Linked DNA regions of Drosophila melanogaster. The protein of the gene in region 1 interacts with the protein of each later gene in a biochemical or structural test. Each region holds a gene or a part of one and is shown in the gene's direction. Other genes may lie near its edges.

What was found.
Region 2: the proteins of fln (region 1) and Mhc interact in far-western blotting, tested with the Drosophila melanogaster proteins (one study listed by BioGRID).

Annotation. Positions count from the first base shown.
Region 1 is NT_037436.4:19,988,925-19,993,119, reverse strand, and holds fln (flightin), read left to right. Parts: upstream 1-1,899; 5' UTR 1,900-1,971; intron 1,972-1,996; exon of another isoform or gene 1,997-2,268; intron 2,269-2,380; exon of another isoform or gene 2,381-2,485; 5' UTR 2,486-2,489; coding exon 2,490-2,749; exon of another isoform or gene 2,750-2,815; coding exon 2,816-2,971; exon of another isoform or gene 2,972-3,033; coding exon 3,034-3,166; 3' UTR 3,167-3,569; downstream 3,570-4,195. Other genes in the region: Csas (CMP-sialic acid synthase), read left to right, coding at 4,142-4,195. UniProt on the Drosophila melanogaster protein: Possibly involved in the regulation of flight muscles contraction, possibly by modulating actin-myosin interaction.
Region 2 is NT_033779.5:16,764,805-16,769,986, forward strand, and holds the start of Mhc (myosin heavy chain), read left to right. Parts: upstream 1-1,929; 5' UTR 1,930-1,952; intron 1,953-2,121; exon of another isoform or gene 2,122-2,306; intron 2,307-2,972; exon of another isoform or gene 2,973-3,155; intron 3,156-3,779; 5' UTR 3,780-3,876; coding exon 3,877-4,080; intron 4,081-4,342; coding exon of another isoform or gene 4,343-4,486; intron 4,487-4,654; coding exon 4,655-4,798; intron 4,799-5,182. UniProt on the Drosophila melanogaster protein: Muscle contraction.

The DNA of each region.
Region 1 (4,195 bases):
AATAGCAGCAACGAAAAAATTGAAATTAAAGCTCTGCCATGAGCCAAATTCGTGCCAAACGGAAGGTAGTTGAGTTTTGAAAATGGCTAAGGTCATGGTCAATCTGGAGGCAATTAGTTCGGTTCCTGGAGAAACCCAAAACCCCATTTTGAACACGTATTTTGGAGTAAGATGTTGGGAACAAGGCTATTTTGGGATTGTGGGTCACAATCAGCGCTTGTTTCACTAGATGGCTGGTATACTTTGGGCCAGAAACGCGAGTGCGAGTGTCAATGCAGTTTGAAATCGCCTTTCGCGATGAATATACGCCGAATAAATGGAATTTTTGGCACACGCATACGCCTGCGTGTCACGTGGGGAAAGCACGGCCCGCGCCTACAGTTTTTTTTCCTGCCCTTCCTCCCCAGCGTTCGTTCGGTGTTACGGCCTTTTTATTTTGCACATAATATTCACACCAAATCGGGTAAGGGGCTCCAGTGGGCTCCAGCAGGGGGTGGGGGAGGGTGGTCAGCAGGGAAAGGCTGGCACTTGGACACCAATATTCCACATCGTATACCAAACCAAGTGTATGCGTTTCGAGCGGGGGTTTCTTTGGCGATGGCTTGCTACACAACTTGCTACACACGTTTAACTCCCAGTGGACCTCGGGTTCTCGCTTACATAAATTGGCACTGTTTTTTTTTTTTTTTTTGGAGCGAGAATTCGAATGCGAATTAAAATGCATTAATATAACCGGCTCGCACTGCTCGAACCGCTCGATTTAAATAAAGTAGTTTGTTGTTTGTGTCCATATGTGCTTGCGTGTGTGCGAGTGGGCATGGCTTTGTCACATGGTCCACTTGGCCCCAACGTACAATGTCCTAGGAAAACGATTTGCTTGCTTGATTTTTATTCTCCACACAAATTCGCCCTAAATTGTTATTTTTGATATTTACATATGTACATATGTACGCAGGTGCGTATGTACATATGTACGCACATGCAGTGTATATGCACGCAAAATGGGCTAAAGTGTGTATGTAGCTCGATTCACACGGGATTTTCGCCGCCTCGGCGGGAGGTGGGTGCGGTTATTACCTGAACGAAAATGACACATTGATTTTAGGCACATTTCTGCTACCCGCTAGGCTAAACAAAATCACTTTTCGCAAATGCAATAAACTTATTCGACCAAAACACAATCAATACAACAAATTTAGGGGTGGCTTAAATCGAGGCGATATATATACGAGCGCCTTATCGATGTGTGCTGCTGGTTTTCGCTTTTGATGTATCGATAAGTTAGGGCGATTGTTTTCACGCCGTTTAAACAAAATTGTTTTTAAATTAATTTCGGGGCTTTTAAGAAAATTATAAGCATGTATTTAAGCAAGAATACCAATACGGTTAGAGTATTAGTTAGATCGTAGATATAACCTATATAAATAAATTTATGAAGTGTTCCACTTTCGTCGTTCCCGTGATAGAGTAACGGTTCCTTTTTAAATAATTAAAATTCTTATTGGATTCATGATGAAACCAAAAAAATTTTAAAATAACAAATTTAACAATTACGGTGCGGATTTCTTATGTGAACATTTATCAACTAGGATTCATAATCTTTAGGCTTATTCTGGAAAAAGTTAACAAGTGTTGTAACTATTTAAAATTAAGTCCGTATAAATGAGCAAATTGTTGAAATCGATCAAATTGAGCTTAAAAGATTTATTTGACTACTTAAATTTGAATCTGCTTACTAACTTTTTCATTGTTCCGGAACTTTTGATGCTGAAATGTGAAACTATTTAGTACATAGGTGTTAATAGCGTTTCGGCCAATTAAATTTAGTATGTGAGTACGCATGCCAACCTTTGTATATAGATGTTGCTTCTCGATATATTTAGATTAAGTTTTCTAAGTGCATTTGTTTCGAGCAGCAGTTCGATCATTTAGTCTTTTTTCCTTTATATCAGTATAAACACTATAGTAAAGGTACGGTCCCTAATTTTTCAGTGGACCCAATGTCCTAGTTTTAGCTGCTAGAAAATCAATGTGAATCCCTTGAACGTCTATTAATAAGTCTATGATAAAAAGTCCTTTGGAAAGATAACAGTGATATGAGTGGTTTAAGAGATGAATCTATACAATTCAATCGATGAATGATGTAACTCATTATATGTAGATTATAATGCATTGAACCATTTAAATCGTCCTGAATTCGAAAGGTCTAAGAACGCCAGCTATTTGGGCGTCCTGAATTCCAAACATTTCCGATCAACTGCGAAAAAGGTTGTTTTAAGAACAAAATTGAAATTTAGGTTGTGTTGCAATGTTATGCAACGTTAAAAGGCCAACGTTTATAAAAAATAAGAAGACAGTGAATTTGTTAAAGTATCTTATTGTGATATAATAATATGATGATGGCTTACGTTACCTAGAGATCGAATATTGAAAGTGAATCTGTCTATGATAGATATATAATAATATTGAAAGGATTCCGTTTCAGTAATATGGCAGACGAAGAAGATCCATGGGGTTTCGACGACGGCGGCGAGGAGGAGAAGGCGGCATCCACCCAGGCGGGCACTCCGGCCCCACCCTCAAAAGCACCGAGTGTGGCATCCGATCACAAGGCTGATAGCGTCGTGGCTGGCACTCCGGCCAACGAGGAGGCTGCTCCGGAAGAGGTAGAAGAAATCAAAGCACCGCCGCCTCCGCCAGAAGACGATGGTTACAGGAAACCGGTGCAGCTCTACCGCCACTGGGTCAGGTTGGTCCTCCACTGTACTGTACAGCACTGTACCGTACTGTATCTTATGCAATCTGCACTTTTCAGGCCGAAGTTTCTGCAATACAAATACATGTACAACTACAGAACCAACTATTACGATGATGTAATTGACTATATCGACAAAAAACAAACTGGAGTGGCCCGGGAAATACCAAGACCACAGACGTGGGCGGAACGTGTCCTGCGCACACGGAATATCAGGTGGAGTAGCTAATCCGGTTTGTGTAAATATAGTAGTTGTTAATATTTGTTATCCACCTCAGTGGCAGTGACATTGATTCGTATGCACCGGCAAAGAGGGACAAACAACTAATTCAAACACTGGCGGCCTCGATAAGAACTTATAATTACCACACCAAGGCATATATCAACCAAAGGTATGCCAGTGTCCTTTAGTAAGCGCACCTAAATGTACCAATAGAACCGTCGGACGAACGGATGAGCACTCGTAGTTATATAAAGGGTAACCACCCATTGTCAAAAGATCCATACGTACATATGTGTATAGTCAGTCAGTAAGCGTTTGCATATCTGCGCATCTCAAAACTCTGTATCCTGAATCTGCCTTATGGAGTGGAGACCTTTCAAGAAAACGAATATTGTATATTTTTTCTTACATGCGTAATTTCTGTTAATATATTGCCATATGTACTTATTCATATATATTAACACAACTTACCTCTCAATACATGGTATTTTTAAGGTTATTTACTTCATTTTTAGCAAAGTGAGTAAATAAAACAAACCTATTTATATTGTAAAGCTTAAAATAAAAACTGTGCAATAAATAAAACTAAATAAACATTGATGTTTTTCCTATTCAAATATGACGGCAGGTATGAGGTATTCAAAAACTAGTGCTTAAAGAAATCCCCATGGGCATTTAAAAACTTTAACTTCATAGTCAAGCGCATGAGAAATCCATTTTTTATTATAATTTAAAACAAGATGAACGAAACGTTAAAACCCACTTTGGTGGACTGACTGGTGAGTACTGCCCTCCATGAACGAGTAAGGAAAATCAGAGTAGTCCAAAGTCCCCATAAAGTGTCTATTTGCATAAATCACAAGTGCAACCCCTCTAATAACACACAATAGGGTAAATTAGGCTATTGTGTGCGTTTGAATTAGTACAAGTACATTTTAGAGTGAACTAATCGCAAACTAAATTAAATTATATTATTAAATCACAAAAGAACTCAAAATAGAAAAGGATCACGATCATGAAAAATACTTTAAATATATTCTGTTTTTTCAATATTTTGTGTACTTATGTTATACTTACTGGCTCACCCTAATACATATATCTTATATGGGCGCCACGATTTTTCTTTTTATTTAAATTTCGACCTCAACCAGAAGCACAGCGCAATGATAAAACTGAAACCGGCCACTTTTCTTATTTTACTAGTTTTTCTTTTCGAA
Region 2 (5,182 bases), on another chromosome or scaffold:
TTGCTTTGCGTCAATGACTCAAAACGAAAATGTTTTTGTGCTTTTCGAACAAAAAATTGGGAGCAGAATATTGGATTCGCTTTTTTCGCATCGAATATCTTAAGGGAGCAAGGGAAGAACCATCTAGAATAATAAAGAAGACCAAAATGTATCGTAACTAAAGGTTTTTTTTATTAATTATTAAATGTTAAATATTAACTTATACCAACTCATTGGCTTTACAAGTACAACAAATAACCCCAAAATAATTTATTGTCAGGTGCTAAATTGTTGTTTGTTGTTCTTGGAATTTGTTTTAAATGCTCAATTTATGTTTTTGTCTTTTTGCCCACAATTCTGCTCGACAATGTCACAGATTTTGTTTCAGAAACTTAGCAAAAAGTATTATAATTTTATATGTGAGAAAAGACTAGAGAGCAGCAAACCCTGCACCGAAAATAAAGGAAAAAAACACTCACACTTGAATGAGAACTGAAATCTTTTTCAAACTATAAATATTCCTCAAAAAATGTTTGAAAGTTGTTTTTGTCCGAATTCATGAGTTGTTTTTTTGCGTATTCTTTTTCCGCTACACAATAATCATTGTTAAATATTGAATATTCAAGACGGACCAACTCATTACGAAAAGTATTTGTCGAAAATACCTTGCAGTGGGTGTATATACATTTATCATATAATTCTTTGCCAAAAATGTTGCACATGAAATTTTGTAATTTTGCTTAAAATTATGAATAATTTCTGTGTCGGAATTTGACATCGTTGTAAGAGGGGAGACTATTTCAATTCTGTTGGCATTTATCATAATTCTCTTTGTCAGCATTATAGATTTGATAAATTCTCGACAAATCGCTACAACACGAATTTCATAATGCACTCGTATTTGCAATCGTATTTGTATTGGATTTTAGCATTGAAACCTAAAGATTTTCGCATCGCATTGCTCTGAAGGACGCCGACTACATTGATTTGATGTGGCATTTCTCTGTCTATCTATCTATATCTAAAGTATCTCTTCAACTATGTGTTTTATTTCGTTTTTTTTGCGTGCATTGCAATTGCTTGCATGTTCTAGCCCATCTATGTTATTTTGAAGTTCACATCATTACTTTTGGCGGACATGTGCTTGCTATGGCCGATCCTTAGGCTAGATAGATCATCAATCATTAACTCAAAGGATCGGGTTTTTTCGTTCTACAACTGAACGATGACCAAACGAATGTTTGTAGCCATTGATAGCATACGATCGGTCTTCTCGAACAGCTGTTTAGCCACTGATCGTAAAGTGATCGCAGATTAGGAGGAAAACCACATAGCGCCGCCTGATCGCAAGCATTCCCCCTGTATTCCACCCACATTGGTGCCAGATCGGATTGGCATTGAGGTGACCAAAAACCAAAACCAGAACAAAAAGCGAAAAATGATCACCGAGAAAAACAAATAAAGATCCCACCATGCCATGCCATACACACATGTGTGCGTCTAGAAATGATATGTGAAATAAGTAAAAAGAAAGCTCCCCTTGGAAAGAGCGAGGGATTCCGGCGGAGAAGAATTGCCTCACGGCGGAAAAGTTGTCATTGAAATGAATTTTACTATTTGACTAATGGGAGAATTGCGAGAGAGCCTACGCAATGGCAATCGTCGGAGAAGGAGCTTTCCGCTCTCGATTCCGCAACGATCCTGATTGCATCATATGCTCACACATATACCATATCCACCATCCCGCAATCCCCCATAGAAATGCCCACTTGCTAGAGAAGAGGAATAGGAATCAGAGCAGCCAAGTGCTAGACCGAAAAAGGGAGCAAGAAAAACCGAAACAGAAACAGCGCCACGCACACCGATCGTCGAATCGAAAAGCTTTCGGGGTCTTACGGGATCCATGGGTATCAAGTTGCCCCGTATAAAAGGCAAGTTTACCGGTTGCACGGTTCAGAACGGCTTTCGAGCGCGTAAGTGCAACACCTTTGATGTGCGATCTCTGATTTTTGGATATTACCACCCAGCAGCAGTAGCGGTAGCAGCAGCATCAGCGGCAGCAGCAACAATTTGACCTTTTGGTCAAAAAGCATAAAACTAAAATAATTATTACTACCTATATATATTTATATATGCAACAAAATCGAGAAATTTAAAAAAGTGTGTGTGTGGTGCTTTAACTACGATCCGAGCGAAAACGGATCTATTAAAACTCTGTGACAATCAGAACAGTGAACCGGAATACCTCGGATTATCGTATCGAATTGGATTACAAATAACAATCTTTTCTTAGGAAGTACATCAGTTACTTAACATAACCTATAGGCGTTAATTTGTTTTCTGAGAAGTATGCAACTATCTTCAACTTCTTGTGTAACAAATCTTTGACTTTCGATCATATCAGCGAAAAAATCTGAAAGTGAAGTAACAAGGATATAAGGAAACTTCTTTCTTACTTTTAGGACTCTCACAAAAAACTAGTTTATCCTTTCTCGCCCAAGAATTTTGGAATAAAAGACTTTCATCGTTCTAAATTTCGACTACTTAAAAAATTCTAAAGCAAATAGATCATTTAAATGTCAGAAAGAGACAGCCAGCTGTTACTTCATCAAATGAAAAATTCGTGTTTCGATGTGAGTTCGAAATGCTGTAATAGCCATTTCGAATTACTGGCGAAATGATTTCATACACAAATACCTGTGTGGCCGAGACATATGCGTATGCATACTATAGAAAATAGATTTAGAATACTCGAATTCGTTGTCGGCTCATATACATGGGCGAAATAATTTCGAATATGTTTTAAAAATAACCAAAGACATTAGAAAGAGATCGCCAATACTTATACATTATGTCTATGTGTGCCATGTGGTAGCATGAGCCAAAAAGCTTCTCGAAATTACGAATTACATATAGACGAATATGTATGTGACTTTAGTTTCGAAATAATTTCGAGAATTTTAAAAATAACGCATTCGTTAAAAGTTCGCGTCAATTCGAATCGAATTTTCGATTGTCGATTTAGTGTGGATTGTCGAAAATCGTTCCGCCTTCGAAGTTTACTGAAAGGAATCATTGCGATCTCGTGAATTGCTTGTATGAGAACACGCCACCATATCGAGATACCTGTTCAAAATATCGAAATCGCGTTCCAAACGGTAGTAGTTACCAGTTGAGTGAGTTGTGGTGACAGTTTAACCTCTCTACATTTGTAATAATAAGCATTGTTTTGGCGTATCAATAGTCTGTAGATTTTTTCACAAAGAAACCTGGAGAAATGTACACAAATATCTAAATGAAAATTGGCGTTACGTAACAAATACCAACGCCCCGAAAATCCGTATATATGCAAAGCATTCTGATATATATATATATAAGTGGTATACATATACATATTCGTATCGGATCCGTGATCTATATTTAGGCGACAACCCACACAATTCACTTGTTGTCTGTTTATAACAAAAACAACAACACAAGCACCGACCAGGCCTAATTAACTTTGAGGTGTGAGATAAAATCAAAGCCACACATAAATAAATATCCGGTTACGGTAACGGGAATTTCGAAAGCGCGAAACGGGAAAAATGTTCATATTTGGAAATCGAAATTAAATTTCGAAATCCTATCCACGCACACACGCGTAGAACTGTTATAGTGTCCGCTATTGCTGCTGCTGTCAAAATGGGTCAAAAGCATAAAATCCATAAAAGAATCAGACTTCGAAACAAAATTCCAAAAATAGTATGCTTTTCTGAGAACCATATAATAAATATTATTTTTCTTTTGTATATTTACAGGGAAGTTTTGGGCTCACGACGCGATTAACAAAGAAATTTTGAAAAGTCCCAATATTATTTTTCGAGTTTTTAAGTTTCTAAACGAAATTTAAGCAAGATGCCGAAGCCAGTCGCAAATCAGGAGGATGAGGATCCCACCCCATACCTGTTCGTGTCTTTGGAGCAAAGGCGTATCGATCAATCGAAACCCTATGACTCGAAGAAGTCTTGCTGGATCCCCGACGAGAAGGAGGGTTATCTCCTTGGTGAGATCAAGGCCACCAAGGGCGATATCGTCTCCGTTGGTCTGCAGGGTGGAGAGGTAAAGTCATCGTCTACACGAGGCTTCAGCATAAAAAAAAAAAAAAAAAAGCTATTGAAGAGTCTTATGGTCGACCTAAAGTGTTAGTCAATTGTTACCCAATGGGAAAATCTTCTTGGTACTACTACTACTACTACAAGAAGGGTTTTTCAATGGATAGCATAAGACTGGGACTTTGTCATGACCTCATACACTTCAATAGCTTATAATGTAGCCACAAAATTAGAATGAAACTATAGATTTCGCCTACATATACGATTAGGTACGAGATATCAAATCCGAGAAGGTGGAAAAAGTCAATCCACCAAAATTCGAAAAAATTGAAGATATGGCCGACATGACCGTGCTTAACACTCCTTGCGTTTTGCACAATCTGCGTCAGCGTTACTATGCTAAGCTCATCTACGTAAGTGTTGTACTGCCAGAAACTCACTAATGTATGGGTATCTCTTCTCTCTCTCTCTCAATCTCAAAAACGAACTGCTAACCCAACGTCTAACCAACAAATGTTGTACAAAAACTAAACATAACCAATCGAACTGAATCCGACAAACCGAACGAAAATGATAAACAGACACGAGACTTAAAGAAAGATCTGCTCCAGCAAGTGAACCCCCCGAAATACGAAAAAGCCGAGGATATGTCCAACTTGACATACCTTAACGATGCCTCTGTGCTCCATAACTTGAGACAGAGATACTACAACAAGCTGATCTACGTAAGTAATTGCCGATCAAGGGTGGCACACAAGTATGCGTTCTATGTTCTTACCCAACCGCTTATCTACCGCCAATCACTCACACTTATGAAAAAAAGAAAAACATCCCAAAATTTTTCAAAATTCGATTAGAGCTGCAACTAGTCTCCGAAGCTTTGAAGTATTTAACGCAATTGAGTAGACTGCTAACCTTAGTCATTCGCTCCTTTTTCGGACTTATGAAACTCATTTTATTAAGCCCTATGAAAAAAAAAACATAACCCCAGCTAATTCCTCATTTCCTGTGACGTATGCACTAATCCAGCTTGTATTAAAACGAATCTTGGCCGTCCAGTCGGATGAACCGCACAACTGGAAAGAAAACGGTTCTACACACAGCACACA